4 linked regions of the Mus musculus genome follow. The protein of the gene in region 3 interacts with the protein of the main gene of each other region in a biochemical or structural test. Links are inferred from orthologs where the notes say so. Each region holds a gene or a part of one and is shown on either strand. Other genes may lie near its edges. The genes, in order: Cltb, Cltc, Hip1 and Htt.

What was found.
Region 1: the proteins of Hip1 (region 3) and Cltb form a complex in vitro, tested with the Homo sapiens proteins (2 studies listed by BioGRID, with this or other methods). The link is inferred for Mus musculus from reciprocal best matches to the Homo sapiens genes HIP1 and CLTB.
Region 2: the proteins of Hip1 (region 3) and Cltc form a complex in vitro, tested with the Homo sapiens proteins (3 studies listed by BioGRID). The link is inferred for Mus musculus from reciprocal best matches to the Homo sapiens genes HIP1 and CLTC.
Region 4: the proteins of Hip1 (region 3) and Htt form a complex in vitro, tested with the Homo sapiens proteins (2 studies listed by BioGRID). The link is inferred for Mus musculus from reciprocal best matches to the Homo sapiens genes HIP1 and HTT.

Annotation. Positions count from the first base shown.
Region 1 is NC_000079.6:54,606,508-54,614,705, reverse strand, and holds the start of Cltb (clathrin light chain B), read left to right. Parts: upstream 1-3,332; 5' UTR 3,333-3,441; coding exon 3,442-3,628; intron 3,629-8,015; coding exon 8,016-8,062; intron 8,063-8,198. UniProt on the Homo sapiens protein: Clathrin is the major protein of the polyhedral coat of coated pits and vesicles.
Region 2 is NC_000077.6:86,699,740-86,707,449, forward strand, and holds part of Cltc (clathrin heavy chain 1), read right to left. Parts: intron 7,497-7,710; coding exon 7,313-7,496; intron 7,121-7,312; coding exon 6,928-7,120; intron 6,392-6,927; coding exon 6,234-6,391; intron 5,572-6,233; coding exon 5,407-5,571; intron 5,257-5,406; coding exon 5,149-5,256; intron 5,069-5,148; coding exon 4,901-5,068; intron 4,491-4,900; coding exon 4,341-4,490; intron 4,264-4,340; coding exon 4,132-4,263; intron 4,036-4,131; coding exon 3,925-4,035; intron 3,033-3,924; coding exon 2,862-3,032; intron 2,692-2,861; coding exon 2,470-2,691; intron 1,343-2,469; coding exon of another isoform or gene 1,322-1,342; intron 1-1,321. UniProt on the Homo sapiens protein: Clathrin is the major protein of the polyhedral coat of coated pits and vesicles. Two different adapter protein complexes link the clathrin lattice either to the plasma membrane or to the trans-Golgi network.
Region 3 is NC_000071.6:135,431,972-135,439,681, reverse strand, and holds part of Hip1 (huntingtin-interacting protein 1), read left to right. Parts: intron 1-1,049; coding exon 1,050-1,147; intron 1,148-3,172; coding exon 3,173-3,245; intron 3,246-4,491; coding exon 4,492-4,675; intron 4,676-5,352; coding exon 5,353-5,441; intron 5,442-6,539; coding exon 6,540-6,632; intron 6,633-7,710. UniProt on the Homo sapiens protein: Plays a role in clathrin-mediated endocytosis and trafficking. Involved in regulating AMPA receptor trafficking in the central nervous system in an NMDA-dependent manner. Regulates presynaptic nerve terminal activity.
Region 4 is NC_000071.6:34,875,215-34,882,924, forward strand, and holds part of Htt (huntingtin), read left to right. Parts: intron 1-691; coding exon 692-833; intron 834-1,515; coding exon 1,516-1,695; intron 1,696-1,810; coding exon 1,811-1,987; intron 1,988-2,213; coding exon 2,214-2,290; intron 2,291-3,588; coding exon 3,589-3,727; intron 3,728-4,589; coding exon 4,590-4,712; intron 4,713-7,635; coding exon 7,636-7,710.

The sequences.
Region 1 (8,198 bases), on a different chromosome or scaffold from region 3:
TTTTATGTGCTGGTGAGATGACTCAGCGGATAAGAGCGCTGACTGTTCTTCCAAAGGTCCTGAGTTCAAATCCCAGCAACCATATGGTGGCTCACAGCCATCTGTAATGAGATCTAATGCCCTCTTCTGGTGTGTCTGAAGAGAGCAATGGTATACTCATCTACATTAAATAAATAAATAAATAAATAAATAAATAAATAAATACATCTTTTTCCCCATTCTTCTAGAGAACCTGGGTTTAATTCCCAGCACCTACACGGACTTCACAACTGCCTGTAACTCTAGTTCCAGGGGATTTGGCACCCTCACACACACATCCATAAGGCAAAATACGAATGCACGTACAACAAATCTTTAAATTAAAGAAATTATTTATGTGTGTGTGTGCCTGTCCGTATGTGTACCATGTGCATGCAATGCCCATAGAGACCAGAAAAGGACATTGGATCTCCTGAAACTGGAGTTGTGAGCCACCTGATGTGGATGCTGCGAGCTGATCCTGGGTCATCTGAGAAAGCAGTGAGTGCTCTTAACTGCTGAGCCATCTCTCTTGCCCAAATACACAGCTCTTTTAAAAACAAAAATGGCGGGGATGAAGAAAGCACTCCCTAGTAACAGAAAGCAGAGTGCTGCTGTCCTGGGAGTGAGCTGAAACAGAAGCTGACTGCGAAAGGGCACAGGCAGCCTTTCAGGTGATAGTGTGCCTCCTTTCTTCGTTGAGCTAGAGTGCTAGAAGGTGCTGCTCAGGCTGCTGGGGTGGAAAAGACATCAACAGCATCCTTGTCCGCATCTTTCATGTGATAATATTAACCTGCTAGGCATCCCACTGAGGTTGGAAAGATAGAGAACATGCTACTCTTGTAGACAACTGACAGCCTGCAGTAACTCTAGCTACAATGTATCTAGATACATAGTATCTTATATACCTTTAGCCTCTGTAGGTACCTGGACATATACACACTCACCCATACCCATACACCTATACATACATATGTGTAACTTTAAAAAATAATTTTAAAAAACCATGCATGAAGCAGAATCATATGGATTCTGTGAGTTTGAGGCCAGCCTGGTCTACATAGCAGGCTCAAGGCCAGACAGTTGTGTAGTGAGACTGACTCAAAAACCTAAAGTTCTCACTGGTGTAGCAGTGGCATGAACATTACAGGGGTAACCTCACTGTGCGTCACTGTGATGGCCTGCTCATTCCTTCAGGCAGTGTTAATTGAACTCAGTGGGTTACTAACACAAAAAAACTGGAGAGGATGGGGGGCGGGGGCACTGGTGAGATGGCTCAGCAGGTAAGAACATTGACTGCTCTTCTGAAGGTACGGAGTTAAAATCCCAGCAACCACATGGTGGCTCACAACCACCAGTAATGAAATCTGATGCCCTCTTCTGGTGCATCTGAAGACAGCTACATTGTACCTATGTATAATAATAAATAAATCAGCCGGGCTTGGTGGCGCATGCCTTTGATCCCAGCACTCGGGAGGCAGAGGCAGGCGGATTTCTGAGTTCGAGGCCAGCCTGGTCTACAAAGTGAGTGCCAGGACAGCCAAGGCTACACAGAGAAACCCTGTCTCGAAAAACCAAAATAAATAAATAAATCTGCTGGGCAGGGCAGTGGTGGCCCATGCCTTTAATCCCAGGACTTGGGAGGCAGAGGCAGGCAGATTTCTGATTTCGAGGCCAGCCTGGTCTACAGAGTGAGTTCCAGGACAGTCAGAGCTACACAGAGAAACCCTGTCTCGGAAAACCAAAAAACTGAGTGAACAGAGTTGACTGGAGAGGGAGCAGAGGTCCTAAACCAATTCAATTCTGAAAAACCACATGAAGGCTCACAGCCATTTGCACAGCTACAGTGTCCTCACATAAATATATAAATAAATAAAAAAATTTCAAGTGGGGGAGGGGAACTGTTAGGGAGGGGATACCTGGGAGGCGTGAGATATGTGAGGGGGGAGCATATGCTCAAAATGCATTACTTGTTTGTATAAAATGACAAAGAGGGCTGTAGAGATGGCTCAGTGGTTAAGAGCACTGACTGCTCTTCCAGAGGTTCTGAGTTCAATTCCCAGCAACCACATGGTGGCTCACAACCATCTGTGATGTGATCTTGGTGCCTTCTTCTGTCCTACAGGCATATATGCAGGCAGAACACTGTATACATAATATATATATATGTATATGTATATATATATATATATATATATACACATATACACACACACACACACACACACACACACACACATATATACATATATATATATATATAAATTGACAAAGACTAAAAGAGAGGTACTCACCTGGCAGTGGTGGTGCTCGCCTTTAATCCCAGCATCCTAGAGGCAGAGACATGTGGATCTTTATGAATTTGAGGCCGGCCTTATCTACAGAGTGAGCTCCAGGATCAGCCAGGGATACATGGAGAAACCCTGTCTTGAAAAACAAAAACACAACCAAAAAAGATACTGTATTTTTGAAAAAGGTCTCCGGGTAGTGGTGGCGCATGCCTTTAATCCCAGCACTTGGGAGGCAGAGGCTGTTAGATTTCAGAGTTCGAGGCCAGCCTCGTCTTCAGAGTGAGTTCCAGGACAGCCAGGGCTATACAGAAAAACAGTCTCGAAATACAAAAAAAAAAAAAAAAAAAAAAAAAAATCACTACTTTGAAGCCAGCCTCAGCTATACAAGAATTTGAGGTCAAACAGGCTACTAAAAAACAAAACAACAACAACAAAAACCGCGAAAGTAATTGCAATGTGCAATGCGAGTTTGGCATACAATCTGCTGTCACAATACGTATATTAATTACCAAAGAAAAAAGCAGGCTCCACCTGTACTGTACTGAGTAATCAACGGGAACCTAACCAATAATGGGACAAACTGACCCTCTGCTCTAAGAACTAGAGAAAGAGCTCAAATTGAAAGACAAAACAATCAGCCAGTTAGTTGCCTTAAGGAACATCAATGTCACCAGACAGGGAGAAAGAGGAACAGTCCCTGATTTCAGGGGCTCATCACACAGATAGGGCGGCGGGATGCTTTACTCAGTCCTGAGAGAACAAGGCTCTGCTGTGCGCGCCTGGCACTCAAGCCTTTCCCAGCCTCAGCTCCCTCCTCCTACGCAGGAAGAGTACTCTTGTATCACGCAGCTCACAAAATCAGCTCTGGGAGAAACTTTTCGGTTCAATGCACCCGGTGCCAGCCCAGTGCTGCTGGCACGCTCTGGAGCCGAAGGTGGGCTTCGGGGGCTCGAACCGAGGGCGGGGCGACCACCCAGCCCCGCGGGCCCCGCCCTCGGCCGCTGACGTCACCGCATTCCCGCCGCGACTCCTCCCGCCGCCGCTGCAGCCGCAGTGACAGGCAAGCCGGGCGGGTGACGGGAAGTGCGGGCCGCGGGCGCGGGCGGGAGGTGACAGCAGCCACGCGGGGAAGATGGCTGAGGACTTCGGCTTCTTCTCATCGTCGGAGAGCGGGGCCCCGGAGGCCGCCGAGGAGGACCCAGCGGCCGCCTTCCTGGCCCAGCAGGAAAGCGAGATTGCTGGCATCGAGAATGACCCGGGTTTCGGGGCACCTGCCGCCAGCCAGGTGGCCTCTGCGCAGCCGGGACTCGCGAGCGGGGGTGAGTCAGCGCAGCGGCCTGGAACCGGGGAGGCTGAGGCCACCACCGGGGGCGGGAGGCCCAGTCTCGGTCAGACCCGGCCTGGGTCCCTGCTGTACTCTGAGTCCGGCTATCCAGGGTGACCAAGGGTACCTCGGGGGGCTGTGTGTATCCGTGAGGCCTGGGAAAAGAGGAAGGAGCCGGGAGATGAGTTGGAATCTGCGCTGAGACTGGATCTGCTGACTCTGGGGACAGGAATTTAGTCATGACATTTCATCCCCAGGCCAGCTTCTCCACCCTGGCTCTGGAACCCTCCCCCTGCTCAGTTCTGAGACTGTCCCAGTGTCCTAGCTAAGTGATACAGGTGTGGGACGGACACGTCCTCCTGACGTTAGCGTTAGCGTTCCTTTCTGCAGGGAAGCAGGGGGCGCTCAGAGAACTCGCAGCTCATCCTTTGGGGATCACCTGCAGTCCTGCAGCAGTGCGGGAGACAATGTTAATTACATATAATAATTTCATACACGTTACTGAACCCATTTTAGAACTGGCTTCAAAGGGTACACTATTAAAACAACTAGGAAGTAGCAATAAAGAATTCAACCCCTTCTTTCGGATGCTGAATTCTTCCTGTCCAGACCTCACAGTCCTTCATGGGCCCGACTGTAAGTCTAGGCAGGGGCACAAATGGCCAAGAGCTGTGCCCTTCCTGTTTGTAACTGTTTGTTTAGTGGATTTACAAAGGTGGCCCGGACCTCTGCGTGTGGCTTCAGACATAAGGGTTCAGGACCTTTTTCCTGCATTGTTATGTTTATCATTGATACTTCTGCCCCAAGGAACAATTTCTTATAAATATATTTAAATATTTAGTACAAATATGGACCTTCATGGTGACCCTCCTAGTAGACCTTGTTATTTTTTGGTGTCATGTTAAAGAGGTTTAATGGTCCTGTTGGAAATAAATATTGTATGTATACATTCATCTTTCTTTCCTTCCACACTTGCTGTGTTGCCGTCCCCACTGGGAACACAGAAGGAAGAAACTGTATCTATGGCCCAGCGTTTGAAGAAACTCTGACATAAGTGTAATAAGCCTTTTGTAACATACACGGAACTGGAGTTTGAGGGGCTATCAGGATGGCTTGTCAAGTAAATGTAAATCAGCCCAGCCTGGTGACACCTGAGCTCACGCCCTGGAACCCTCATGGCGGTAGATAGAACTCACTCCCACAAATTGTCCCCCCGACCTCGCATACATGCCTGCACCACACACACACACACACACACACAAACACACACAAGTAAAGAAAATATAAATAATAATAATTAAAAAGAAAAAACTGGAGTTTGAATGTCTTGCCTAGGGCCACACAGCCGTGAGTGATAGGTCTGGGGCTTGATTTCAGGCCTCCTAGTTATGATCTTCCAAAGGGCAGCTGTGCTGGTCTCCTTAGGAGATGATTGGATACAGCAGGGAGAAGCAGGGGCCTATCCAAGCCAGCCATGCAGCTCTGAAATAGCAGCTCTCAGTCCCTCAGCCCTTCATTGTCCCTGGGAACCTCCTAAGTTCCTGTATGGAACTCACTTGTCCATGGTCACCCCTTGGGAACAGTCCTTTCCCTCATTAGGAGGTCCCAAGTTGTTAGCAACTCAGGAGAAAGACAGATGCAGTTCCAGCTGAGGATAGCCACAGGAGCCTGGGATTTTGCAAGTTGTAGTCTTTCCTAGGGACTTACAGTCTGGGTGGGTAGGGCACTGACTAGCCCTAGATATGAGATAACCGGGAGGGAGACAGTGGTGATAACCCTTAGGGAAGCAGCCAGGGACTTGACCCTCTGAGGGTCTCCCGGACTCCATCAAGCTGCAGGTGCCCAGCTGCCCTTCTGAGTGGCAGTTTGGGGAACAAGGAGGTGCTTCAGGAGGGGAGCTCAGCGGGTGTTCAGGCATAAATAGAACAGACCTGATTCTCCTAAGCCTAGACAGTGGGAGGTACCCATCCTCCTCTGCGTTTGCAGGGAATGATAGGAGCCTGGGTGGTCTGAGGTGAACTGTCTGGGCAATTCTGGGAGTTGGAAAGAAGCTAGTTCTAACAGCAGCCACCAATGCACACCTCTGAGTCACCTCCCAGAGACAATGAGGTCTTCTGATAGCAGCTCTCGAGCCAAGTTCAATGCCGCTTCACTGCTGCTGGCTCTCAGGGGGGCCTGGGGAAAGCTGTGTCTGGCGTAGGCCTGAACCGGAACCCCACTGAGCCTTCCCTCTGGGCGGATCTGCAGCCGGCCTGAGCTGCGGATACTTTGTTTCCATTCATCAGCCTTGGGCAGTGCCCAAATGCTCTACACTTTCACACCCGTTAGCTGGGCTCTTGGCCTGCCTGTGACCAAGCACTGTGTAATCCTCTTGCCCCTGCTGGTCTCAGTAAGCTCACAGGAATGTTCTGGATCTTTTGCCATTATTCCTGAGGTGACCACACACCAAAAAGCTTATCCTTGGAACATGTTATTTGCTTTGCTGTATTTGTTCTGCGGGCTCTGTTGTAGACTCGGAATCATAAATGTGCAAGAGCCCTGTGGGATACAGGCTGGTATTTCTAAGAGTGGGTGTGTATGCAGTCCCAAAGACTGAAAGGAGGATGATGCTCATAGCCTTTTGGGACCACCCTTATTTAGAGAGCAGGCCACCTGTACTGTAGAAACCCTCCCAGAGTGGGTGGGATGAGAGCTGTCATAGTGAATCAGGATTAATCACTGCTTGACGATAAATAAGCTATAATTTATATCTGTGACACATAATTGACATGAGACTGCAAGGCCCTGATGAATCAGGTCAGGCTTAGGCCAGAAGCACTGTTGCTCTTCAGAGGCCAGTCTATCCCATACAGGGCTAATTGTTTATCTATGGGGACCATATGAGGCCTGCTGTGGCTCGCAGCTAGGCGGCATGACAGTTTCAGAGAGGCCTTGCCAATTACAGTGAACCCCAAGAACAGTCCAGCTCTCATTTGGCCAACTGTCTCTGTTCATCCATTCTATGCAGGAGCCCTTAACTGGGAATATATATACACACACACACACACACACACACACACACACACACCACACACACACACACACACACACACACACACACACACACACACATATATATATATATATATATATATATATATATATATATGCATCCAGAGTCTGGGCATGCTAAGTCACTATACAGGAGAGTGGGATACCCTGTGTAGTGTTCCAGTGTACCCCAGAAACGAGACTTTCTTTTAGTGCCTAGGGAAGTAGAGGAAGCAGGCTAAGGTTCCCTGTAGGAGGTAACTTACACACCAACTAAAAAAAAAATTAATGAGCCAAGTGTGGTGGCACAAGCCTTTAAATCCCAGCACTTGGGAGGCAGAGGCAGGCAGAGCCTGGGAGGGGCTCTTGCACATTTATGATTCCGAGTCTACAACAGAGCCCGCAGAACAAATACAGCAAAGCAAATAACATGTTCCAAGGATAAGTCCAACCTGGTCTACAAAGTGAGTTCCAGGACAGCCAGGGCTATACAGAGAAACCCTGTCTTAAAATAAAAAACAACAACAACAAAGAATTTAATTTGTTTATTCAGCATCTAGTGACCAAACTTGTAAAGAAGCCTAGGCCCCATGCATGGGTGTGGCTCTGAGCCACGGTGCTCTCATTTGTCACTAGCAGGACAGACAACCAAAGCAGGAGTGTAGGTTTGAGATGTCGAGGGCACAGGCTGGGCTGGGCATGGGAGTGAGGGGAAGGTAGCTGTGAAGGTCGCTGTTGCAGCAGAAGCTACAGGTCGTTTGTGGCTAACTGGATACTGGATAAAGGGATTGTGCGGTGTCACTGTGAAGCCAACATGAAACCCTGGGAGGGGCACAGAGAGGAAAAATAGGCCAAGCGTTGCCCAGGGGGAGCTGTGAGGCTGCTTGCCCAGGCAGATCGGTTGCTCAAGGTTCCAGCAGGACATGCAGAGACACAGACCCCTCTCTTCCTCGTCCCTGATGGCCTCTCCCTAAACTCACAGTCCCCCTGTCTACTTAGGAGGTCCCAGCTCCATGCTGAACTTCAGGTTGGTAAGGAATGGTGCACTGCCAGGTGATCTGGAGCAATCACAGTAGCCTTCCGAGCCTCCACTTGAGAATCTGTAAAATGGGTCACTGTTTCATCATAGGGCTGTGGCAAATATTAGGGATGACAGTGAATGCACATGGGAACAATCAGGGCCTGAGCCTCGTTGCTTATATATCCATTATATCTCAGGGGGTGGGAGGAGGGCGGTGGGTATCAGTATACCCATGGGTGTATGCATAGGTTGGCTTAAGAAGCAAAAAAATAGGACCTTTGTGTGTTTGTAATATGGACTGTGAATGAAACTGTCTCCTTGCTCTTTCCAGCTGGTTCAGAGGACATGAGTACTACAGTCAATGGAGATGTGTTTCAGGTAAGCAGAGGTGGGATGGACTGTCTCAGGCTCAGTGACTTGTTTCTCCATTGGAGGTCATTTAGGGCTCACCATGTTTCCTACACTGACTATTTTCTTGTCGTATGCTGGGGGCAGGGACTGACTGAGGAGTCGC
Region 2 (7,710 bases), on a different chromosome or scaffold from region 3:
GTATGTGTGCATGAAAAAAAGGCAAAAGTACTGAAGCAAGAAGTGAGATCTGAGGATGACTGGTGCCATACAGGCTCTTGAGGAACACACACAGCCCACAGCAATGCTCTATGTTTCGGAGTAGTATGATGTAATTGCGGTGACTTGTACATGCTTGATTGAAAACAACGCATAACACTGCAGTTCAATTCCCCATTTTTCACACACACGCTTTCTAGCTGCCTTGCTTACTAGCTGCTGAAGGGTCTCACACACAATGCATTTACTCAGGTTTGCCCTAAGTTCCAGTGGTGACTCCAGTCTGAACAACATAATCCCAAGGCATTGGCCCCACCCAAATCATTTAAAATTTAACACTCCTTTACTTCCCCACCACTTTCTAGCCGTAATTTTACACCAGGAGTAAGTTTTAAAGTTCATTTCGTTTATACTGGGAAAGAGATAAGCCAATGGAAGAAAGCAGCAACCAAATGGTGCCTAAATTTGGCATTCTTGGATGATGAGCCAACGAATCAACTTGGCAGCAAATTTTGGTGGTTTTGAAGGCGTGCTAATTACAGATAGGTGTTAATATATTGCCTTGTCATACACAGAGATAATCCATGTTGCTTAATAACAGTTGCAGCAAACTTGGCTCTGTCATGATTGAAAAGATTTTGGCTCTTCTTAAAAATGGACTAGCACCATGAGAACTGGACACCTGGAGAAACATGAGGAAAGTCTCTTCGGAAGCAGCTAGTATCTCTTGTATCTACTTTCAGCAAAAAAAATTAGTAAGAATCAAGAGATCAGAAACTGGATCACAGTCCTTCAATACCACAAAAAAACCCAGAAAACAAACAAACAAAAAACAGCCCCACAGAACTCCAAAGGCCTCTTAGGGCATGTACATACAGATATAAATTCAACAACTGTCAGGCAAGCTCACAAAATAAAAAAAGAAGATGTTTTAATTTATTTCAAATATTAAGAAAGTCCTAGTACGTTCCAGATACCCTGACAGGGAAAAGCAATTTCCTGATAGTTTGGAATTAATATTGAAACTCACCATGCTCAGTTTTAATAACATATTAAGAGAGACTGTGAACCAACTACTGATTAGCCTCCTGCCCTTCCTAAAGCCTATTAGCCGATTAGTAGCAAACATCTACTAATGTCCTACAGCTCTATTATAGTTATGTTTCAAGGGACTTGCAGAGGCTTAGTGAAAATTTATTGGGGGGAAAAGCAGCAGCAGCAGTGTAGAAAAGGAAGGGAAAAAATCATGCAAATCCTTAGACTTAGTCTCCAGACTTAAAGATGCAAAAGAATCAACTTTCACCTTTTCCTTTATTGCATCAACCTGCAAAGGAATTCAGAAGGTGCAGCTTAGAAAAAAAAATCAAATTCCATATTGAGCATAAAAAGGTAGAATCAGCAACAAAGGTTCAGGGGAGAAACATGTAACCACTAAAAAAGGGAGGAGCGAGTGGAAGTCAAGGGCGTACGGAAGCAAAACTTAGAATCCTGTGTAACTTCAAAGCTCACTGCACAAGAATTTATGCTAAGTCAGTGTGAAAGGAAGCAGCTTAATGGCTAGGAAAATGGACAGCATTTAGGTTAACAGCAGCCAGGTCTCCAAAGGTGGCATTCATTATGCATAAGAAAGAAGCTTCCCCCACCTGTGGCTAAGCTGTGGCAACTGTTCTAATCACACTGAGCTTACATATAAAGTATTCCTCCTTTAAAAACTGTAAGAGCAACTCAAGGTATCTAGTTATGTGGCCTTCGGGGAAACATCTCTATGGGGTGGGGTGTTAGTAGTGTTCCCCTCCTGTACTCAGGCATGCTGAAGAGATCAGAACAGAGACTTCACTTCAAGTTTTATTTACTCTGACAAAACGAATCTTTTAAAAATCATTTAAATTGTCTATGCATAAAGCTAGTTAACTCTGGCAAGCAGGAGCTATTCTCACATCAGAAAGAGGTGCAAGGATGAACAGCAAATTTTGTACGGTGGCCGAATCCTTAGTTACTTAATGTGCATTTAGGAAACATGGTTAATTGCAAACTTCCTATAGTATTTTTAAATTATGTACTTGATTATCAAAAATCTGTGTTGACTAGGGAACTAATAATACAATGCATGAGAAACGGGAAAGACATGAAGTCTGGAACCAAACAAATCGGGAGTACATGGAGATCTAAGTTGTAGCAATTAACTTTAAAATGCTATCTTAAAATATTTCAAATATTAAAAGAGAGTACTATTTACTATAAGAATACAGAGAGTAAACACTGACAAAGCTTGAGTTCCATTCCTAATCATATCGCCTGTCAGCTATTAAGAAAAAGAATCCATATAATAGGAACATTTTATGGTCAACTAAATAATTTATAATAGAGAAAAAACTTGAAAAATAACATGCATGTAGAATGTTATATATCCTCAGGATTACTAGTTCTGAATACACTTCTGAGCATCATTACCTTGGTCAAATATTCCTTCATGACCTGGATGAAATAGGGCATGGCGAAATCCATGATATTATGTCTCCATGCGGTTTCCAGGACGACATCTGGCCTTAAGAGATCATAACAGGTAAAGAGACAAGCTCCAAAGCATTCTCTTTTTTCTTCCTGCAAAAACCACTGTAGGAGCTCTTCAGCCAATTCTGTGTCTTTAGATTCAGAGGCATACTGCATTGCATCCTATTCAGAAGAAACAGAGAAGAACAGAGTTTAACCCACACATGCTGACTTAAACCATCACTGAAAGTTAAACAACAACAATAATGAATGCACTGACTTAAAAGCCACCTTCACAAAAGGGAGTTGAAATGCCAATTCCCATTGCTTGAACAGCCCACCCGCTTACCAACCTTGTAAAGGCTGTCTTTCTTGCACAACTCTACACTCTGTTTCCAGCGATTGTTGCCTTTGAAGAGATAAGCAGCAATTCTTCTGAATTCAATGAGTTCGTGTTTTTCCAAACGCTGAGCAAGTGAGATGTTGTCAAAGTTGTCATAAGCATCTATTGATGTTCGCAGAGCCTTAAGAGACAAAGCCATTCAGAATCAACTAGCAGCTTTCGGTTTGACATTTATGTTCCACAGTTCATTCTGATGGAGGCAGTTAGATGGCAACATGAAATAGAACAATGTAGAGAGAGGATGCAAGCACCACACTACAAAAGTTGTAACCTGTATTCAGATCTCGATCGTCTTTGATCTACTTCTAAAACAATAAATAAAATGCTTAAATGGACTGTACAACTTTCTGAAGGTGCAATTTTCTTTGAGATAAACAGTACTGATACTAACTTAAATGACTATGAAATTGGGAGAAAATGTAATGTAGACAAGCACGTAAGCTGTTAGGAAACTATTCTTACAGACTAGACTTTGAGCCAGGGGTGCTGACACAGAGCTCTAACGAAGCACTCAAGTATGATGTCTGTGAGGGAAGCCTGCGCTACTAGGCAAGTCCCAGCCAGGCCAAGTGAGGGAAAAATCGCAATTAGTAACCTAGACAGTTTCTATTTATGTGTTATCTTTCATAAGAGCAAATTTAAATGACAAATACTAAGACATTAGGCGAGGAAATTAATAAACAGTTAAGTCCACTTAACAGCAGTCAAGTTTATGGACTAATTGAAAAATCAGTGCCTCTTGGATGTGCAATCAGGATGTAAGAGGGGAAGGAAGCACATATTGCATATAAAATATATCTAACTCAAAGAGTGAAACTTGTCATAAAGCTGAACACTTACCCATCCCGAAAACCTTGCTGAATTTAAGGACTAAGCATCCACATGCCTGCTACTTAAAAATTAAGGCTAACAGGGTTCTTTTGTTTGTTTGTTTGTTTTTACCACAGAACATGTCAGTGTTAAAGCTAATCAGAGTCTACTGTTAAGTATTCACAAGAATCCAAAGGTTTTACCTGGTAATCTTCTTCAGTAATAAAGAGGTTGTTCAGTGATTCATTCACAGATTTGTTGTTGTGGTTCTGCACTGAGCGTAAATATGGTTTCACCAGTGGTAGCTGTTTTACCTTTAAAATAAAGTTTGTTAGAAAGGTATCCATGGTTGAGAACTGTATCCAAGTACATCGAAATCCTCACTGTAAAGTTCAGTTTAAAACAGTTACCTTGCTGAAATAATTGACTGCACGAGTGTGATCCAACCGTGGAGACAGCACCATGAGCAAGTCATTTAACAACAAAGGCTTGAATTCTAAGTAGAACTGGATTGCTTTGTAGTACAGTTCCACATTAGCCACCTAAAAATAGAAATGCACATCAGTTTCTATCCAAGGAGCCTTCTCTTTCCACAGTGCACACTTCTGAGTGTATATACCTTGGTGATGATGTCTTTGAACTGCCCTTCCTTCCATGCATCGGTGGGGTGATTCATCATGGTAATGATGGCATTGTCATACTCTTCGTACTTGTCATACAGAAACACCAGCTCTGCCCAGAGATGAGCCTGTTCTGCAGCTCTCAGCACCTGCACCACAAAGTTGCTTTAGATGTAAATATGACTCCTGCAATCAGCCTAACAGGGAAAATGTTTTTTTTTTTTAATTTATTACTATTATTTATTTATTTGGATTTTTTGAGACAGGGCTTCTCTGTGTAGCCCTGGCTGTTTTTTTTTTTTTAATTTATTACATTTATTTATTTATTTATTTATTTATTTATTTATTTATTTATTTATTTGGATTTTTCGAGACAGGGCTTCTCTGTGTAGCCCTGGCTGTCCTGGAACTCACTCTGTAGACCAGGCTGGCCTTGAACTCAGAAACCCGCCTGCCTCTGCCTCCCAAGTGCTGGGATTAAAGGCGTGTGCCACCACGCCCAGCGAAAATGGTATTTTAAATTATTAGAGCTAATCAGTGGTGAAGACTGGTTGGTTACCTTAGGAATATTCACTCTCGACCAGAACAACTCCAGGTGTTCTCTCATTTTCTGTGGCTTGAATTTAGAATACAAAATAGCTAGCTCTGTGAACATTCCCATGTGAGCTCGCTCCAGTCCCAAGGCTGCCTCCAACATGGTGATGAGTTCTTCAAAATATCCACGATCCTACATAAAGAAAAAATGCAATTAGAGGAGAGAATATGTGTACGAAGGTTTCAATTCACATAAAGGCCTGGTGTCGTTACCTGATAGTAGTTGATAAGCTCCTCTAATTCATCTGCATGCACCACAATATGGAGTCCACACATCTGAGCAAGGCGGAACTCTTTCCCATCTACACAGGCAAAGCAGACCTAGAATAAACATTTTCCACTATGAGAACCCAAGTATAAATATGTGCAATTATTTCAACTCAACAGAAAAGAAAAAACAGTACAACGGTACAAGAGAAAAAAAAATCAAACAAAATGTTAATTCATCATTCAAACTTGGGTTTAGATTACCTCTTTCCATGTTCGAGTACTATTAGCTTTTCTGGCACCATCAACTGCTGCCTGATACTCGCCAAGGTGAACAAGGGTAGATGCCAAGCGTCCAAAGTTAGAAACATTATTGTACAACAACTTAGCAGCATCATACATTTTTTCATCATAACAACGGTCACCAACCTAAGGAGGAAAAGCAATCCATGATCAGTAAAACACAGGTTTCAGCCTAATCCCTTTTCCAAATTCTTATCTTACTACAAAGGAACAGATGGGTTTAGTTGAATATGCTGTAAAATTCAGCACCCAGAAGTTGAGGCAGGAGTAACAAATACCCATTCTTCATGCCACTGAATTTTGTATCTCAAAAATTACAAATAAAATGAATGAACATACACACACTCTATCTCCTAAGAACAGTTTAATTTCATAGCCCTAAAATATTGATTCAGCCAGGGTGATAAAATTACTCAATCATTGAACTTTCATGTGTTAAAATGTGGAACTCAGTTGGAAAGTGCTTGCCTTGCAAACAATAGGATGTGAGTTAATTAATACCTATGACCCACAAATTCAGGTGTTGCATGTGCTTGGAATCCCAGCACCAAACTAGTGGTAGATCAGTCCCTTGTGCTTGCTGGCCAGCTAGCTTAAACTACTTAGTGAGACTTTTGCCAACAAGAGACCCTGTCTTTTCTCCTAAGTAGATAATTCCTGAGGAATAAAAACAAGAGCCTGTCTTCTGGCCTTCACATGCACTTTGATGCAAGCATCCCACTGAAAACAGACAGACAGACGGACACACATGCACAGGAACTGGGGGGCAAATTAAACAGGAAACCCACTTGCTGAATATGAGCATTATTTGGCCCATTGATGAACTCTTCTAATTCTGCAAGGCGGTTTGTTTTAGCCAGTGCAAATATCAATTCTGTCTCCACATAGGACTCTCGAGCCTTCTTGCGTGCCATCTGCAAATACTTCACCAATTCTTCCCAGTTTCCTAAATAAAGAGAAAAATAAGTCCATAAACTAGCACCCTTGTTTTATATTTCCAAGCAAATATGTTAGATGTGCTATTAGTTCCCCCTGACAATTTTTTTTGAGTGTCATGCTATCTAAACAGCCTACGCAGTCCAAGAGTTTAAGGCATCCTGCCTCACTGGCAGGTGTACATCACCACACCAGCTTAACTCCTTTTTCAAAGAGACATTACTTAGAATGGCAAATATAAAGTGGATATACTTAAAAGTATAAAAATACATATCTATATTATTATTGCCCCGAAACTGCTTGATACTTCTGCCCACTTTAAAGTTATATTCCAGAGCTCTATCAGGATTTTATCAGACCTCAAAACAAAATGAACTTTCTCCAGAGACTTTCTAAACTCAGTCAGTCTAGATCAAGATGCTGGGCTAAAAGCTTTCACACGTAACCAGGGAGTGTCTGACCTCTATACAATTAAAACTTAAACACCTTAATGCTTGGCTTAGTGATTTTTTGGAGGTCTCAGGACATAAAGACAAGAAGTCTTACCGCTGGCATTGGCAGCCTGGACAACTTCCATGTAAGATGAAGGATCATCTGCTTTGATGTAAGAATCAATGGCTTCCTTCACCATTCCTTTCTGCAACTGAGCTTTTGCAAGTTGACTCCAAACAGCAGGCTCATTGCAGCGTTCAGCAAACTCATATGCACGATCCAGGTTTCCAATATGTTCAATCAACACCTGGGCAATATTTTTGAATTGGTGTTACTGTAAAATGGATCTCACCCAACATAGTTACATTTAAACGGATAGCATTTTATGATTACTCTACTGTGATAGCAATCTGTGCATACTCTCACAAGAAAACGCATTCTTTGCATCAAGAGAAGACATTATTGTCAATATCTCAATTCATGTAATTTCAAGATTTACCTGCACTGCTGAAGTATTGACATCAAACTTCCGGAAAATAGCAAATGCCTCTTCAAACAGCTCATTGCTGATGGCAATGTTGGCAATATCTGGAGCATCATAATTATCCAGGCGGTTAATATACTCCATAACACGTGTTCGGTCAGCCTTAATTGCAGTGAGGATGAGGAGATTTTGCAGATTCCTTAAGAAACCAAGACATTCAAGCACAATGTCATCAAAGAGTCATCAATGGTGAGGAAACACCACTGTGACACTAGAGGGTTATTTGTCTCAAGGGTCAGGGTGAGAAGAGCGTGTATTAGGAGAACAATCCAGAAAACTATCTGTTCTCTTTGTTTTCTCTTCCTTCCCCAAACCAACAGGCCACAAAGAGAGGCTGAGGAAGCCAATGCAAG
Region 3 (7,710 bases):
GCATAGCTAGAGTCCTCTTTCTCATAACCAAATAGGAGCTTAGACTGAGCCCCCTGCACTCGGGCTCCTGGAGTGATCTTAGCTAGGTCTCCGTCAAATCAAGAAAACAGAGATTCTTGCTACAAGTGTGGTCATGCAAGCCACTAATCACAGAATTTGGAGGGCGGGGGGGGGGGGGGGAAGCAGAAGACGAATTCAAGGTCAGCTTCAGCTACATAACAAGCACATCGTGAGTCCCTGTCTCAAAAATACAAGGAGCTAGAGAGATGGCTCAGCCATTAAGAGCATTTGTTGCTCTTGCGGGAGGCCTGGCCTTTATTCCCAACATCCACAAAATGGCTCACAACCATCTTTTTTTTTTTTTTTTTTTTTTTTCTGTTTGTTAGTTTTTTTGTCTTTCTTTTCTTTCTCTCTCTTTTTTTGTTTTGTTTTGTTTTGGTTTTTTTTTTTGGTTTTGGTTTTGGTTTTGGTTTTTTCGAGACAGGGTTTCTCTGTGTAGCCCTGGCTGTCCTGGAACTCACTCTGTAGACCAGGCTAGCCTCAAACTCAGAAATCCACTTGCCTCTGCCTCCCAAGTGCTGGGATTAAAGGGATTAAAGGTGTATGCCACCACCCCTGGCTTTACAACCATCTTTAACTCTGGTCCTAGAAAAGCCCCACCCTCTTCTGGCCTCTGTGAACACCAGACACATACACACATACATGCAGTCAAAACACTTATACATATAAAAATAAATGTCTTTTAAAATATTTTATTTAATTACAAAGAAAGAAAAACAATAAAAAATGAAACAAGCAAGGCAGCATACACTTTAATTCCAGCACTCAGGAGGCAGAAGCAAGCAGATATTTCTATGAGTTTGAGGCCAGTCTGGTCTGTATAACGAATTCCAGGCCAGCCAGAGCTATGTAGTGTAAACTAAACTACGCAGTATAAACTGAAGTAATAAATTGCATGCATCCCCCCCGGCACCTCTCCGCTTCCCAGAGAATTTTCTAGAGGTCTCTAACTTGTGCTTCCCCTTCCCCCACCCCACTGATTGCTGCAGACTTTGTTTGACAACAAGTTTGATGACGTCTTTGGCAGCTCATTGAGCAGCGACCCTTTCAATTTCAACAATCAAAATGGCGTGAACAAGGACGAGAAGTGAGTCCATGCTGGGTGGAAGTACACGGTTGAGAAATGAAGCTAAGCTGTAGTGTGCCTGTGACAGCTACCCCAAGAGGAAGGAAGTGTGTGTGTGTGTGTGTGTGTGTGTATGTGTGTGTGTGTGTGTACATATGTGTTTATTTGTGTGTGTGTGAAAATACATGTGTGTTTATGTGTAAGTATATCTATGTGTGTATGTGTGTGCATATGTGTGTAAGTACATGTATGTGTTTGTGTCAGAATTCCAGCTCAGGTGTTATTCCACAGTTGCCCTCTACCTCCTTTCTTTGGTGTTGGATTGCGTGTGTTTTCATGTGTATATGTGTTCACATGTGTGTGTGTGTGTGTGTGTGTGTTCACATGTGTGTGTTTACATGTGTATACATGTGTGCTCTTGCCTATGTATGCCTGTGTGGAGGCTAGAAACCAATGTTAGGTGTCTTCCCTTATTACTCAACCCCTTCTTTTTAGTGTCTGTGTGTCTATGTGTCTGTATGCATGCCTGTGTGCCCAAGTAGGCCATGAGTAGATGCAGTTTTGAGTCACCCAACATACGTGCTGGGAACCAAACTTGGCTTCTCTGCAGGAACAAGTGCTCTTAACCGCTGAGCCATCTCTGTAGTACAGCACTTCTTTTAAAAGAAAACGTTTTGTTGCATTCGTTTGTTTGATTATATGTGTGTCGTTGGTCGGGGGATGTGGCAAGGTGTCAGGGTTTTATGGGTCATCTCTCTCCTGCATTTATGTGGAGTCCAGGAATAAACTCAGGTTCTTGGGCTTGGAGACCCTTCACCCACAGATCCCCTCATCCATACTTAACATCTGGGCTTTTTGGAAAGAGGTGGGATGTAGCTTAGCTGGACCACTGCTTAGCATGCTAAGGGCTGGGGTTCCATCTCCCAACTACGAAAGGGACCAGGGCTAGAGAAATGGCTCAGTAGCTAAGAGTCCTTGCTACTTAAAGTTCATTTCCCAGTACCCACCTTGAGTGGATCACAACCTCCTGAAACTCCCAGGGATCCAACACCTCCTTCTGGCCTCCAAGAGAACCCACACACATGTGCACATACTAACGGGCAGAGATATACATAAATTTATAAAACTGTCTTAGTCTCTTACCTCTTCTCTAAACATGATCGCCTTGTATCCTAGATCAGCAACAGTGAACCTTGTGGGTATCAGGGTAAGATACCTAATGTCTAAGGTACAATAACCCTAGGTATCCAAGAGTTGCTGGATCCAGAATCACCTCCACAGACAGACACAGAAACAAAACTCAGCCACTGTGCAAGACTCCCTTATAAGATGAATACTATTTCTGTGGCTTTTTTCTTTTTCTTTTTAAACCCCACTTAAATTTTGTACTGGGACAGAGTTGCTGCAGGCGTGCTGTGCCATTAGTGTATAAACAAGAGGACATCTTGCAGGAGTCAGTTCTCCCTTCTACCGCATGGGTGCCAGGGGTCTAAGGCAGATTGCCAGGCTGTATGGCAAGCACCTTCTGAGCCATCTCACCAGCCCCTGTTTTTCTGATGTTTCAGAAATAATGACAAAAACAAAAGTCTGTATGTGGTCAATAAAGATGCAAGGTTTTTTCCTCCCCAAATATCTTCCATCCCCAGTCAGTTGAATGCACAGGTCTAGAACTGCAGATGAGAAAAGTTGACTGTAAAATCTATACTGCAAAGGATTATTACTGTTATTTGTGGGTCTAGCGATGTGGCTTCATGTATAGAGTGCCTGTCTAGCATGCAGGACACCCCCCCCCAGTACTATATAAAGCAGGAACTGTAGCACATGTTTATAATTGTAGCACCCCAGAGGAAGGGAGAGAAGGGTGGTCGTGGTGGGAATAGAAACAATCTTCCTCCAGTGAATATCTGGTAACAGGAAAAGTTATTTGTTTGTTTTCTTAAAGAGAATGCCCCAATTAACACAAGCTTTGACCTCTTTTTGTCTCCTGACTTACATGGAGGAGAGGGGCGGGACATAGTGACACCAAGCCTGTTTTTCTCTTCTCAGGGACCACTTGATTGAACGCCTGTACAGAGAGATCAGTGGACTGACAGGGCAGCTGGACAACATGAAGATTGAGGTGCATTCTAGGGTCCATGTGCGCTTGGGTTTCACCAGCATGTGGCACATGGCATTCTTGATGTCTCATGATAATGGCTGGACCCCATCCTAAGACTGGGTTGATGGATAGACATGCCTTGCTGGGTCTGGTGGCGCATGCCTTTAATCCCAGCACCAGAAGGCAAAGGCAGGTGGATCACTGTGAGTTTGAGGACAGCCTGGTCTACAAAGGAAGTGCCAGGACAGCCAGAGCTACACAGAGAAACCCTGTCTCAAAAAATCCAAAACCACTACCAACAACAAAATAGATATTCAAAAGTCAATAAATTTGCTCATCTCTAGGTCTCAATTAGAATTTGTTATCATAACATGTAACTTTAGGATGGCAGTTAAGCTGGGTACCAGTGTCCCCATGAGGCATGACTATGGCTTGGCCATCAGAACTTTTTCTCATAAGTTCTTGAGAAAATTGATTTAGGAGCTGGAGCTATAACTCAATAATAGATCACTTGCCTAAATCTGTCAGAAGGGCTGCGAGCACATGACAGAGCGCCTGTCTAGAATCCCTTGGTAAGAGAGGGAGGATAGGCTTCGGTTATAAGGTGCCTGCCAAGAATTCATCAACTATGGGCGAGAGGTGTGGCTTAGTTGTAGAGAGCTGAGCTAAAATGTCCCAGGAAGGGACAGGAGGTATGGCTCATTGGTGGCCGACTTGCCTAGAATCACAGTAAACGGCTGGGAGTCTGGGAGGGGTGTCTGAGCAGGAGAACACCTGCCTAGAATTCCCCAGGGAGGGGCTGGGGGCGTGGCTCAGTGGTAGAGCCCCTGCCTAGAATCCCCCAGGGAGGGGCTGGGGGCGTGGCTCAGCGGTAGAGCACCTGCCTAGAATCCCCCAGTGAGGGGGCTGGGGGCGTGGCTCAGTGGTAGAGCCCCTCCCTAGAATCCCCCAGGGAGGGGCTGGGGGCGTGGCTCAGTGGTAGAGCCCCTGCCTAGAGTCCCCCAGTGAGGGGCTGGGGACATGGCTCAGCAGTATAGCCACTGGCCACTTGAGCAAGACCCTAGGCTCCCTCCCTACCCAGAGCGACAGAACAACAGTAACAAAAAGTTTTCTCTCTGTAGTTGGTTGAGTCTATGGGTTGGGAAATTGATTTAGAGATCAACCACATCAGTGCCAGTCACGTGATAAGTCATTTCCTGTCCTGCCTGGTACCCCTCATGGGGCAGCCTGGCAGTAGTGAGCTTCTCACCACGGCTTCCCCTGACAGAGCCAGCGGGCCATGCTGCAGCTGAAGGGTCGAGTGAGTGAGCTGGAGGCAGAGCTAGCAGAGCAGCAGCACTTGGGCCGGCAGGCTATGGATGACTGCGAGTTCCTGCGCACTGAGCTGGATGAACTGAAGAGGCAGCGAGAGGACACGGAGAAGGCACAGCGCAGCCTGACTGAGATAGAAAGTGAGGGCTGGGGCTGGGGATGTGGGCGGGAGCAAGGCAGATCACCCCTTTGTGGAAGCAAAGCTGGGGTACTGACTCTTGTCTTCAGAGGTAGGAACAGGTTTGGTGGCACTGCTGAGCCAAGGACACATTGATGGCTTGAGTCCCTATCCTGGGAGAGGGACCTTCCTAGGAGAGGAAGCTGGACAAAGCCTAAGGGGGCGGGGCGGGGACACATGAAGCTTAAAGCCCTGCTGATATGGATACTGTGTTTGTAGGCATCTGTCTGCAGGTGGATTTGAATCAGGGGAAAGTTTACTTAAAGAAGACAACCTTTTATGTCCGCTTCAGTGGTGTTTACATGTAACTTCAGAACTCGGGAAGCTAAGGCGGGAGATGACCATAATGCTAGCTTGGGTTACATAGCAAGACCTTGTTTCCAGTAAACCCCTATTAATGACTATTAATGAAAGTTAATAGATAAATTCTAGCAGAGTGTGGTGGTATACGTCTGTAGTTCCAGCCCACAGGATCAGAGGTTCAAGGTCATGCTGGCTACATAGCCTGAGCTACTTGAGACCATATCTTTAAAAAAAAAAAAAAGATAAAGATTACCTTTAGTGCCCCCAGTTTCCTAGAGGGAGGATGAGGGGCATCCCAGCCAGGGCAGAGGCCTCACCCTGATCTTTCCATTGCAGGAAAGGCCCAGGCTAATGAACAGAGGTATAGCAAGTTAAAAGAGAAGTACAGTGAACTGGTGCAGAACCATGCTGACCTGCTGCGGAAGGTAGGCATTGTGGCCCCTTCTAATCCTCCCATATGCTCCACATTACAGGAGAAACAGCTCAAGCCTGGGCGGGGCTTGGGGGGGGGGTCTCCAAGCTGCACAGTATGTATGTATTCTTCCTCTGTATGTCCGAATGCTTGTGTATGCGCATGTGTGTGCAGTTGCTTGAGGAGGCCAGTAGATGGCATCAGACCTGTGAAGCTGAAGTTATAGGCAAATTGTGAGTCTAGCATGGGTGTGGGGAACCCAAACTACATACTTTGAAAGAGCAGCACCAAGCCATCCTTCCAGCCCCACACTCCTAATTCTTGACCCCACCTTGCTTGCTTTCTTTCTTTCTTTCTTTCTTTCTCTTTTCTTTCTTTCAAGAGATGGCTCAATGGTTAAGAGCACTGACAGCTCTTCCAGAGGTCCTGAGTTCAATTCCCAGCAACCACATGGTGGCTCACACCCATCTGTAATGGGACCTGATGCCCTCTTCTGGTGTGTCTGAGCCCTATCTTGAGTCCTAACCCCAGCTTTTTAAGACTTCTTGAGTTCTGTCTGTGTGCCAGCCACACTTAGGATTACCCTTCATTTGAGCTGGGCATAGTGGGACATGCCTATAATCCTATCAGAAGGTGGAGGCAAAATCCTATCTCAAAAAAAAAAAAAAAAAAAAATAGCCACGAGTAGTGCCACATGACTTTAAACCCAACGATGGAGGCCAGGCAGGGCTAAATAGTCAGATTCTATCTCAGAAAGTAGAGAGTAGGCGTACTATCCTCACACCTGAAATCCTCAAACGTAGAAAGCAGAGGCAGAAGGATTGCTGTGAGTCTGAGGCAAGCTTGGGCTACATAGTGAATTCCAAGCCAGCCTGGAAAAACACTACACCAGACAACTCTACCCTTACCCACTCTGTATTTTTGTAATCACCTTTAAGTCTAACATCCCTCTGAATGCCATGGCTGGTTCTGGCTTCCTTCTGGGTAGGGAAAACTTCTCCTGTCTGCCTCCTTGTTACTCACAGTCTGATGATAGATCATTGCTGCTAGAAGGACGATGGGCTTTGAGCCTGAGTAATGTCTGGTTAAAAACTCTCTACTCCTCTTTTAGAACGCAGAGGTGACCAAACAGGTGTCCGTGGCCCGGCAAGCCCAGGTGGATTTGGAAAGAGAGAAAAAAGAGCTAGCAGATTCCTTTGCACGGGTAAGTGACCAGGCCCAGCGGAAGGTAAGCCAGAGAGACACTTGGGGATGTAGAAGGGAGGGGTACGTACATACGTGCGTGCGTGCGTGCGTGCGTGCTTGCGTGCGTGCGTGCCTGCAACATCATGCATGTTGAAGTGGGTTTAGGTTTAGATTCTTTTCTGGTGCCGTGCGGGTCTGGGCGATCAGATCCTCCCGCTCAGCCCCAAGACCCTTGAGCTTCAGTCATCTCCGAACACCTGTAAACAGGCTTGGAGGCCGACTTGGCCCAGAGGGCTTCATCATATGTTCCATGGGTAATTTTCAGGAGGCCTTGGGAGCTACGCGGAAGAGCAGATTTCGCTCAGTTGGTAGAGTTCTTATGTTGTAGGCTCACCTAGGAGGCCTGCGAGCTCCATCCCTGTTACCACATGAACCAGGCGTAGTAGTGCAAGTCTATGCTCTCACCACTTGGGAGGTAGAGGCAAGAGAAACAGAAGTTCAGGCCAGCCTGGGCTACTTGAAACCCTGTCTCAAGGACAGGGGGCCAAGCAAAGGAATAGAGGGCCAGGCTGTAGTGGTACACGCCTTTAATCCCAGACAGAGGCAGGCAAATCTCTGAATTGAGGCCAGCCTAATCTACAGAGTTTTAGGACAGCAAGGGCTACCCAGAGAAACCCTATCTCAACAACAACAGTATATATAAAATCAATTATTATTTGTTTTATTGTTACTAGTAATTAATATTATTGACATTAATATCAACTGTGATTTAATATTGTTATTAATCATAATATAGATAACTATATAATTGATATAATCTTGACATATTAAAATTACTGATTCTAATTAATATTTATATTGATAAGCTTTATTATTTCTGTATTGATAATCAGTTATTGGTAGTAATTAGTATGTGTTAGTCCTGAATTCTTAATAACACCTAGTAAACTAATCTTCAAAAATTAATATTGGGAAAGAAAGGCAAAGCTGTTGGTGAGGCCTGGGTCATCGACTTCCTCCAGGCTGCCTGCTACCCACACACTTAGAACTCAGACCTAGTGGATCTACAGTCTCGGTCAATAGCGTGGGACGTCAAT
Region 4 (7,710 bases), about 100 Mb from region 3:
CTTTAGCTTGCAGCACAAGTTTTATCGATAATCTATTAGTACTGAGGACTTACAGGACTGGTCAACAAATTTCAAGTGTGCTTTCTCTCCTGTGACTTCTGTCCCTATTGAGACTGAGCAAAAGACTAGAAATATGTCAGACATGGTCTTTTAAATATTTGGCTATAACTGAAAGTCTCCAGGGTTATATTTAGAAAGATGCAATGAGAAAGGAGTATGAGTGGAGTAACCACTGCAGTAGAGAAGAAGCACTTTGAACAGTAATTCCACAACCATGACTTTCTCAGTAATGTTTTTGAAAATTAGTAGGAAAGTGTGAAATGAGGCTTCTCCCTGGCACTTGAAGGTGTTTGTAGAACATGAGAAATATCAGAACAACTGCTCCATTATCAAACATGGCCAGTGTGAATTCTGGAATGGACATGCTATTTGGAATTGCAGCCTTAAATAGTGGGTTTTGCCCTTCAGTCAAGCACTGTAATCATCTGGCTGCTAAACTCTCTGTGTCCTTCAATGATTTCTAGGGACAGAAGTCTGAGGTGCATAAACACACACCACCAGTCTGATAGAGCAATATCTGGAATAACTTGTGGGTTTGAGAAGGAAAATCCATCATAGCTTTGTTCAATATTGTGTGTCTAAGTTTGTGGCTATCCCAGACATTCCCTCATTGCATATTCATGCCTTGTAGGAGACACAGTCTGTCCTGCACGAAGTCACTTAACCCCCAGAAGTCTGGCGAAGAGGAGGATTCTGGCTCGGCAGCTCAGCTGGGAATGTGCAATAGAGAAATAGTGCGAAGAGGGGCCCTTATTCTCTTCTGTGATTATGTCGTAAGTGCCCACAAGAGCTCTTATGGTAGAGGGTGGCATAGATGCTGCTTATATGCACCTGCTAGGCAACCAAATTATTCACTGTGCCACAGATATATCAAAGCTGAGGAGAGGTAGCAATGTTTACTCTGGAGTTTAATTAGAGCAGTCTGGTGACATTTTTCCTTGTATTGGGCAGCTGTGTTTTTTGATTCAAGAACTCTATCAAATCTGTGGCATTTAGAGTCTGTTTTCTTTACTAAGCATTGCAGACAGAGTAAGTAGAACAGCCCATGCTAGGCTGGCCTGCAACCTGGTAGCAAGTTGTATTCCTACATGGGGCTTCCTTTGTTCCCATGCATGCAAACTCCAGGCCAGTCGCTAGGGAGGGCTACACCAGAGTGCTCACCGTGCTCCTGTGGGCATCTACCTCTTGACTTGTCCAAGGAGCCAATTCTCTGATATTGAGGCATTTGCTGGTGTCTCTAGGAGCTGGATGTTGCCCTTGGTTCTTGGCTTCCTGTGGCCTCTACCACATGTGATCAGAGGTGTAAGGTTCTATAAGTTTCCTTCCTTTCTCTCATTTACTTATACTCAGACACTTGTCTTCACCAAGGCAAAATTTGTATTTCAAGTGTGTTTTTTCTTACACTTTGTAGCCTTCTTGTCCACTTGAAATATATCTTTTATTATATCTTTCTAGTGTCAGAATCTCCATGACTCAGAACACTTAACATGGCTCATTGTGAATCACATTCAAGATCTGATCAGCTTGTCTCATGAGCCTCCAGTACAAGACTTTATTAGTGCCATTCATCGTAATTCTGCAGCTAGTGGTCTTTTTATCCAGGCAATTCAGTCTCGCTGTGAAAATCTTTCAACGGTAAGTCTTTAGCCTGCCAGTTTGCTTTCTCCAACTTAAAAATGGGATACTGGGATTTTGTCAGTACTAGTTATCAGTCTGAGGAATAATAAATTTCGTTCCTTCTCAACATTAGCCAACCACTCTGAAGAAAACACTTCAGTGCTTGGAAGGCATCCATCTCAGCCAGTCTGGTGCTGTGCTCACACTATATGTGGACAGGCTCCTGGGCACCCCCTTCCGTGCGCTGGCTCGCATGGTCGACACCCTGGCCTGTCGCCGGGTAGAAATGCTTTTGGCTGCAAATTTACAGGTACTGAAAATGGTAATTTATATCAAAACTTAGAAAGTCAATCAAAACATTTGGTCTATTGACCTGGTCTTGATTGGCCACTGATAAAGAGCATGTATGTCATATTTGTTATTTGTGTATCTGACCAACGGCTCTTTTTAGATATACTGTGTATAGTAATTTATCCTTTTTAAGTGGGTGTGAGGTTGTATATCACAAAAGCCCTGATGTGTTCTTGTCTGTGTAGAGCAGCATGGCCCAGTTGCCAGAGGAGGAACTAAACAGAATCCAAGAACACCTCCAGAACAGTGGGCTTGCACAAAGGTAAGACTGCAGCGTGGGGTCCTGGCACTTGGGCAACCAGCGTATTAACACATAGATATGTTCAGGAACAAATAGGTAGACAAAGGAATTAGTGTACAGTGAGTTTACTACAGCAATGCCAGAGTAGAAAAGACTATCTAAATATCAGATGAAATTTAGTCATGTCTCACTTTAGTAGACATGAAGAAGTGGCACTCAAATACCTGTTGCACAGAGAAGGGACTCCTGAACTTTGTGACTGTTGAAGGGATAAGAAGTATGTTTGTTACCTCTGCTACTGGACCCTGACTGAGTGGGAATAAAGCTAGAACCTAATTGCCAGGTTGGAGGGAGTAAACATGAGAGCACTACCTGGCTCTTGGCATGTGCACATTATGTTAAGTGACATCTCTTCATAGCTATTCTTTTGCCTAATTGTTTGAAAGTCTTTTAGAAGCCTTTATTAGAAACATTTCCATCTGTAGTGTAAGTGTAGTTCCTTGACTACAAGATAAATTAAGAAAAGCTTTCACCTCTTTTCCATTGCTGAAGGGGGAAGGGAGCATTCGAGAGGGTCTCTCATAACTTTAATCTTCAGAGGATTTTTCATGGTGTTTCATAATGGGACAGGGCATGGTCTGGATGATTTTTCTCAATCTGCAGAGCCACATGATGCTGACATTTGATCATTTGACATATGAAGTATCACATTGACTCTGTATAGTAAGAGAATAAATTATCATTGTGTTTGACAGTAGTTGTAGTCATAGACCAAGATAAGGAAGATTATGACTTCATAAATAATTTAGGCCAGATGAAATGGTTTTCTGTGAAATGACCATTTCTAATGGAATGAATTGTGTCATTATTGGGGATTAAATGGAGTTTGTGCACTTGGATCTTAAAATTTATCTGTTTTGCACACATTACAAATACGATGGCTAGGATTATGTAATTCAGTGGTAAAGCACTTGTCTAGTGTGCACAAGTCCCTAGGTTCAATCTCTAATATTGCCAAGAAAAGAAAGAGTAGAATAGAATAGCTTTGTTAGCGGTTATATAGTTCATTGCCTAATGGAATGTTGAGCATAAATGAAACTTCTGGAAAATATCAGTGAGGTATAAATTTTGGTAATTTAAAGTAACTAGGGCGTAAATGTGCATCATGACTTTAGAATGTTGAAGGGAAAGTCCAAAACCTGTTGCCCTGTCTTAAGAAGCTCCTAGTGCTCCTTGGTATTACATGTTTCTAGAACTCATCTGTGCAAAAACTGAGATTTCAAACCAAAGAACAAACTACTCTGGCTTTTTTATTCCAGACACCAAAGGCTCTATTCACTGCTGGACAGATTCCGACTCTCTACTGTGCAGGACTCACTTAGCCCCTTGCCCCCAGTCACTTCCCACCCACTGGATGGGGATGGGCACACATCTCTGGAAACAGTGAGTCCAGACAAAGTAAGTGTCCCGAATGTCTAAGTGTGATGACCAGGAACCCTGTGGAGACAATGACAGCCTCTGTCTACAATGAGGATAGTGGTGGCTGTCAGTATACATGGGACCTGACACTCAGCTCAGGTCATTAGATGCCCTGCTTGGGATTAGAGTGCAGGATGGAGGCCAAGAGGTCCTACTGAGAACAGGAGTGCTGATGTGAGGCTTTTGTGGAGGACTGTGGGGGCAAGTCAGGTGGCTAGTCAGCAAGTCAGGAAAAGTTGGTTGTGGTCCAGGACCTATGACTGCAGACATTGTCCAGCACATGCTGACAAAACTTGGCCTGCCTCCCCCTCTGAACCTTCTATCTCCTATAAATTGATGCACCTACTGCCACCAGCTATATAATGTATTGTCATCTGTACCCTTTCTCATTCACACTTGAGAATTAGAAACTGTTAGGGCCTTTGCCTTTTAGGCAAGGAGATGAGATTTTAGAAGCCTGCAGCCCATGACAGAAAACACACATTTGCCCCAGGCTCACTCTCCAGCTTTGTGGGAGGCATTTCTTTGGCTTTGGCTGCTGGGAAAGATGAGGGAGGCAGATACTCCAGTATAGTATAGATGGTGCATCATCTAGAGTGCAGGTAGAGCAAAAATTGTGAACACTGAGAACTTGGCTGAGTTTGCAAGGACTGCTGGAAGGTCCACAGGTGGAAAAGAAGAGGGCATTCAAGCACAGAACAAGAGAGGGAAGACTAGCTGTCTAGAGAGTGTAAGCCCAAGATGTGTCTGATGTCTGTACAGCCAGCCGTCGGTGCTTCTATCACAGCCCAGAGAAGCCGAAGTGCCTACCCAGTCCCATTCAATTTTCTTTTCTTCTCAGGACTGGTACCTCCAGCTTGTCAGATCCCAGTGTTGGACCAGATCAGATTCTGCACTGCTGGAAGGTGCAGAGCTGGTCAACCGTATCCCTGCTGAAGATATGAATGACTTCATGATGAGCTCGGTAGGCAATAATCCGTTGAGTCCAGGAAATCCTCAGCTCTGCTTGTCAGAAAGTTAGATTTGTGTCTTAGTTAGGGTTTCTGTTGCTATGATATAACACTATGACCAAAAAGCAAGTTGGGGAAGAAAGAGCTTATTTGGCTTAACACCATCATTGAAGAAAGTCAGGATAGGAACTTAACAGGGCCAGAACCTGGAGTCAGGAGCTGATGCAGAGGCCATAGAGGAGTACTGCTTACTTGCTTGTTCTCCATAGTTGGTCAGCCTACTTTCTTACAGAACCCACGACCACCAACCCAGGGATGACACCACTCACTATGGGCTGGGTCCTCTGCCATCTACCACTAATTAAGAAAACACCCACAGGCTTTTGATGACATTTTTTTTCTTGTTTGTTTGTTTTGAGACAGGGTTTCTCTGTGTAGCCCTGGTTGTCCTGGAACTCACTTTGTAGATCAGGCTGGCCTCAAACTCAGAAATCCACCTGTCTCTGGCTCCCAAGTGCTGGGATTAAAGGAGTGCACCACCACCCCCTGGCTTGGTGGCATTTTCTTATCTGAGGTTTCCGCCTCTTAGATGACTTTAGCTTGTGCCAAGTTGATAAAACTAGCCAGCACAATTTGTCTCATCTTTGTGTGATTAATATATGGGAAACCTGAGTTCAAGCAAGGGACACCATCAAGCAAAGCACATGGGAGGCTCTAACAAAAAATGGCACACGAGAGCTATAATCCAGAATAGCTAGCACATGAGATGTGAATAGGATGCCGTTTTAAACAAACTAGAATCCTAAAAGAAGAAAATTGTTTTAACTTGATCTTTCATACCTTTAAAGAAAACGGGTGGTCATAGGCTATGGTCAGTTGATCATTCATTTCCTGACTATAAGAAAGTATTGTGTGTTCATTGTCTTCTGGAAATTGATCTCTAGTAACCCCTGTATTAATTACTTTCTCGTTGCTGTGATAAGACACTGAGGAAAAGCAGTTGAGATGAGGAGGGTTTGTTTTGGCTTACAGTTCAAGGGTACAATCCTTGGCAGGGGAAGCATCACGGTAAGCTTGATGTGTCTGGTCACATTGTGCCCGTGACCAGAAAGCAGAGAGAAGTGACTGCTAGTGCTGAGTTTGCTCTGCCCTTTGTGTTCAGTCCAGGATCCCTGCCCACAGTTAAAGTGGGTCTTCCTACCTCAACCTCATCAAGATAGGCACACCAAGAGGTTATTATCTCCTCAGCAGTTGTAGAACTGCTACGCTGACATCAGTATTAACCATTACACCCATCATGTAGTGAGGCACCTTGTCCCTGTAGATAAAGAGGCATTCTGTCATGTAGTGAGGTACCCCGTCCTCTCTAGATATAGAGGAATTACCTCATGTAGTCAGATGCCCTGTACTGTCTAGATACAGAGCAATTCTCCTCCACTTACCCCTCGAATACCAGAAAGCATACTGAGAGCTGGTGCAGGCCTTGAAAGCATTCAATTCCCTTCCTTGTCTTCTTTGCCAAGCACTCTTAGGCCACTACCTTAGTGGGGTTCTTTGTTGCCCAGTGAAGACAAGGACCTCATTGCCCCTTGATACATGCCAAATGGTTATGGGGAAGCAGGAACTGAGCAGGTTAATAGAAGGTGTGTGTGTTGTGGAGAGAGAGGGTTCTCACATAGGAAGATATCTAAAGCACAGGACCCAGTTTGTTATATTTTCCAAGTCGTTAGGTGGACTATTAGCAGCTTGCAAGTTCCATCCATGACCATAGAAATGTTTGATTTGGGGGAACTAATGATGAAATACAGTGTTTAATATTAAAGCTTATGTTCTACTTGAAAAAATTGTGACTCTCTCTAAATCCTTAAATGGCTTAAAATAAGTTTTTGACAAAACATAATAAAAACTGTCATATGAGGCCAGACATGGTAGTGCATATCTTTAATTCCAATACTTGGGAGTCAGACACTTGAGGATCTCTGTTTGTGACATGTCTGGTTGACTTAAGTTCCAGGCCAGCCAGGGCTACATAGTAAGACTATCTCCAAATCAAAAAAAAAAAAAGAAAATTAAAAGTTTTTGGCATGTGAAATGTTGTGTGTGTGTTTTTTTAAGCAGATTTTTGTCTAATATAAGATGCTCTGTGTGCCTTCTCAGGCTGCAGCATTGCTTGGCATCCCACTGGATTCTTAGATGGCATATTAAACTTGGTGCGCTGTCTACATCAATTAAGATTTGTCATCCTAGAATTATTTCAATGAAATATAAGATCATAAAAATTAAAAATATTGCTCTTTCTCTCTTTCCCTCCCCCCTCTCTCCACGTGGCCATGGCCAGTCTCTCTCTCTTTCTACCTTCTCTCCTTTCTCCCTGACTTTCTACAATAAAGCTCTAAAACCATTTTAAAAAATTAAAAATATTACTTTAAAATTCAAATATGACAGTGACCAGAAATATTTATTAAGCATGTTAAGTGGAGTTGTTGATATATTTATTAATATATATAACATAGGATATACTTTTTAAAATAGAGAATTCAACTTAGTTTTATCTGTCTTTTAACTTTATTTGTAGTCTAAGATCTTTTCTAGAGAGTATTTCCCACTTTTATTATTATAAGTTACTTGAGACAAGCTACATCATAAGAGAAAAAGATTTATTTTGACTGATAGTTCTGCACATACAACATCCAAGGGCTCATCTGGTGATGACTTTACTGTCAGAGTCCCAGTGTGGTGCAGAAAACCTCCCATGGCAAACAATAAGGAGCTTGAGTGTCTCTGTTTCTAGAATATTCTCAGAAGCATTCCTTACAGTTCTTTGGTCTGGATTATCTCAGAAACAAATGCTTATTGCATTAACTGTGTGTGTTCCAGCCTGAAGGAAAGCTTACTGTCTTTGCTGTTGTTTGTCTTGCATGTAAACTTCTGACCCAGGAGTTCAACCTAAGCCTTTTGGCTCCCTGTTTAAGCCTTGGCATGAGCGAGATTGCTAATGGCCAAAAGAGTCCC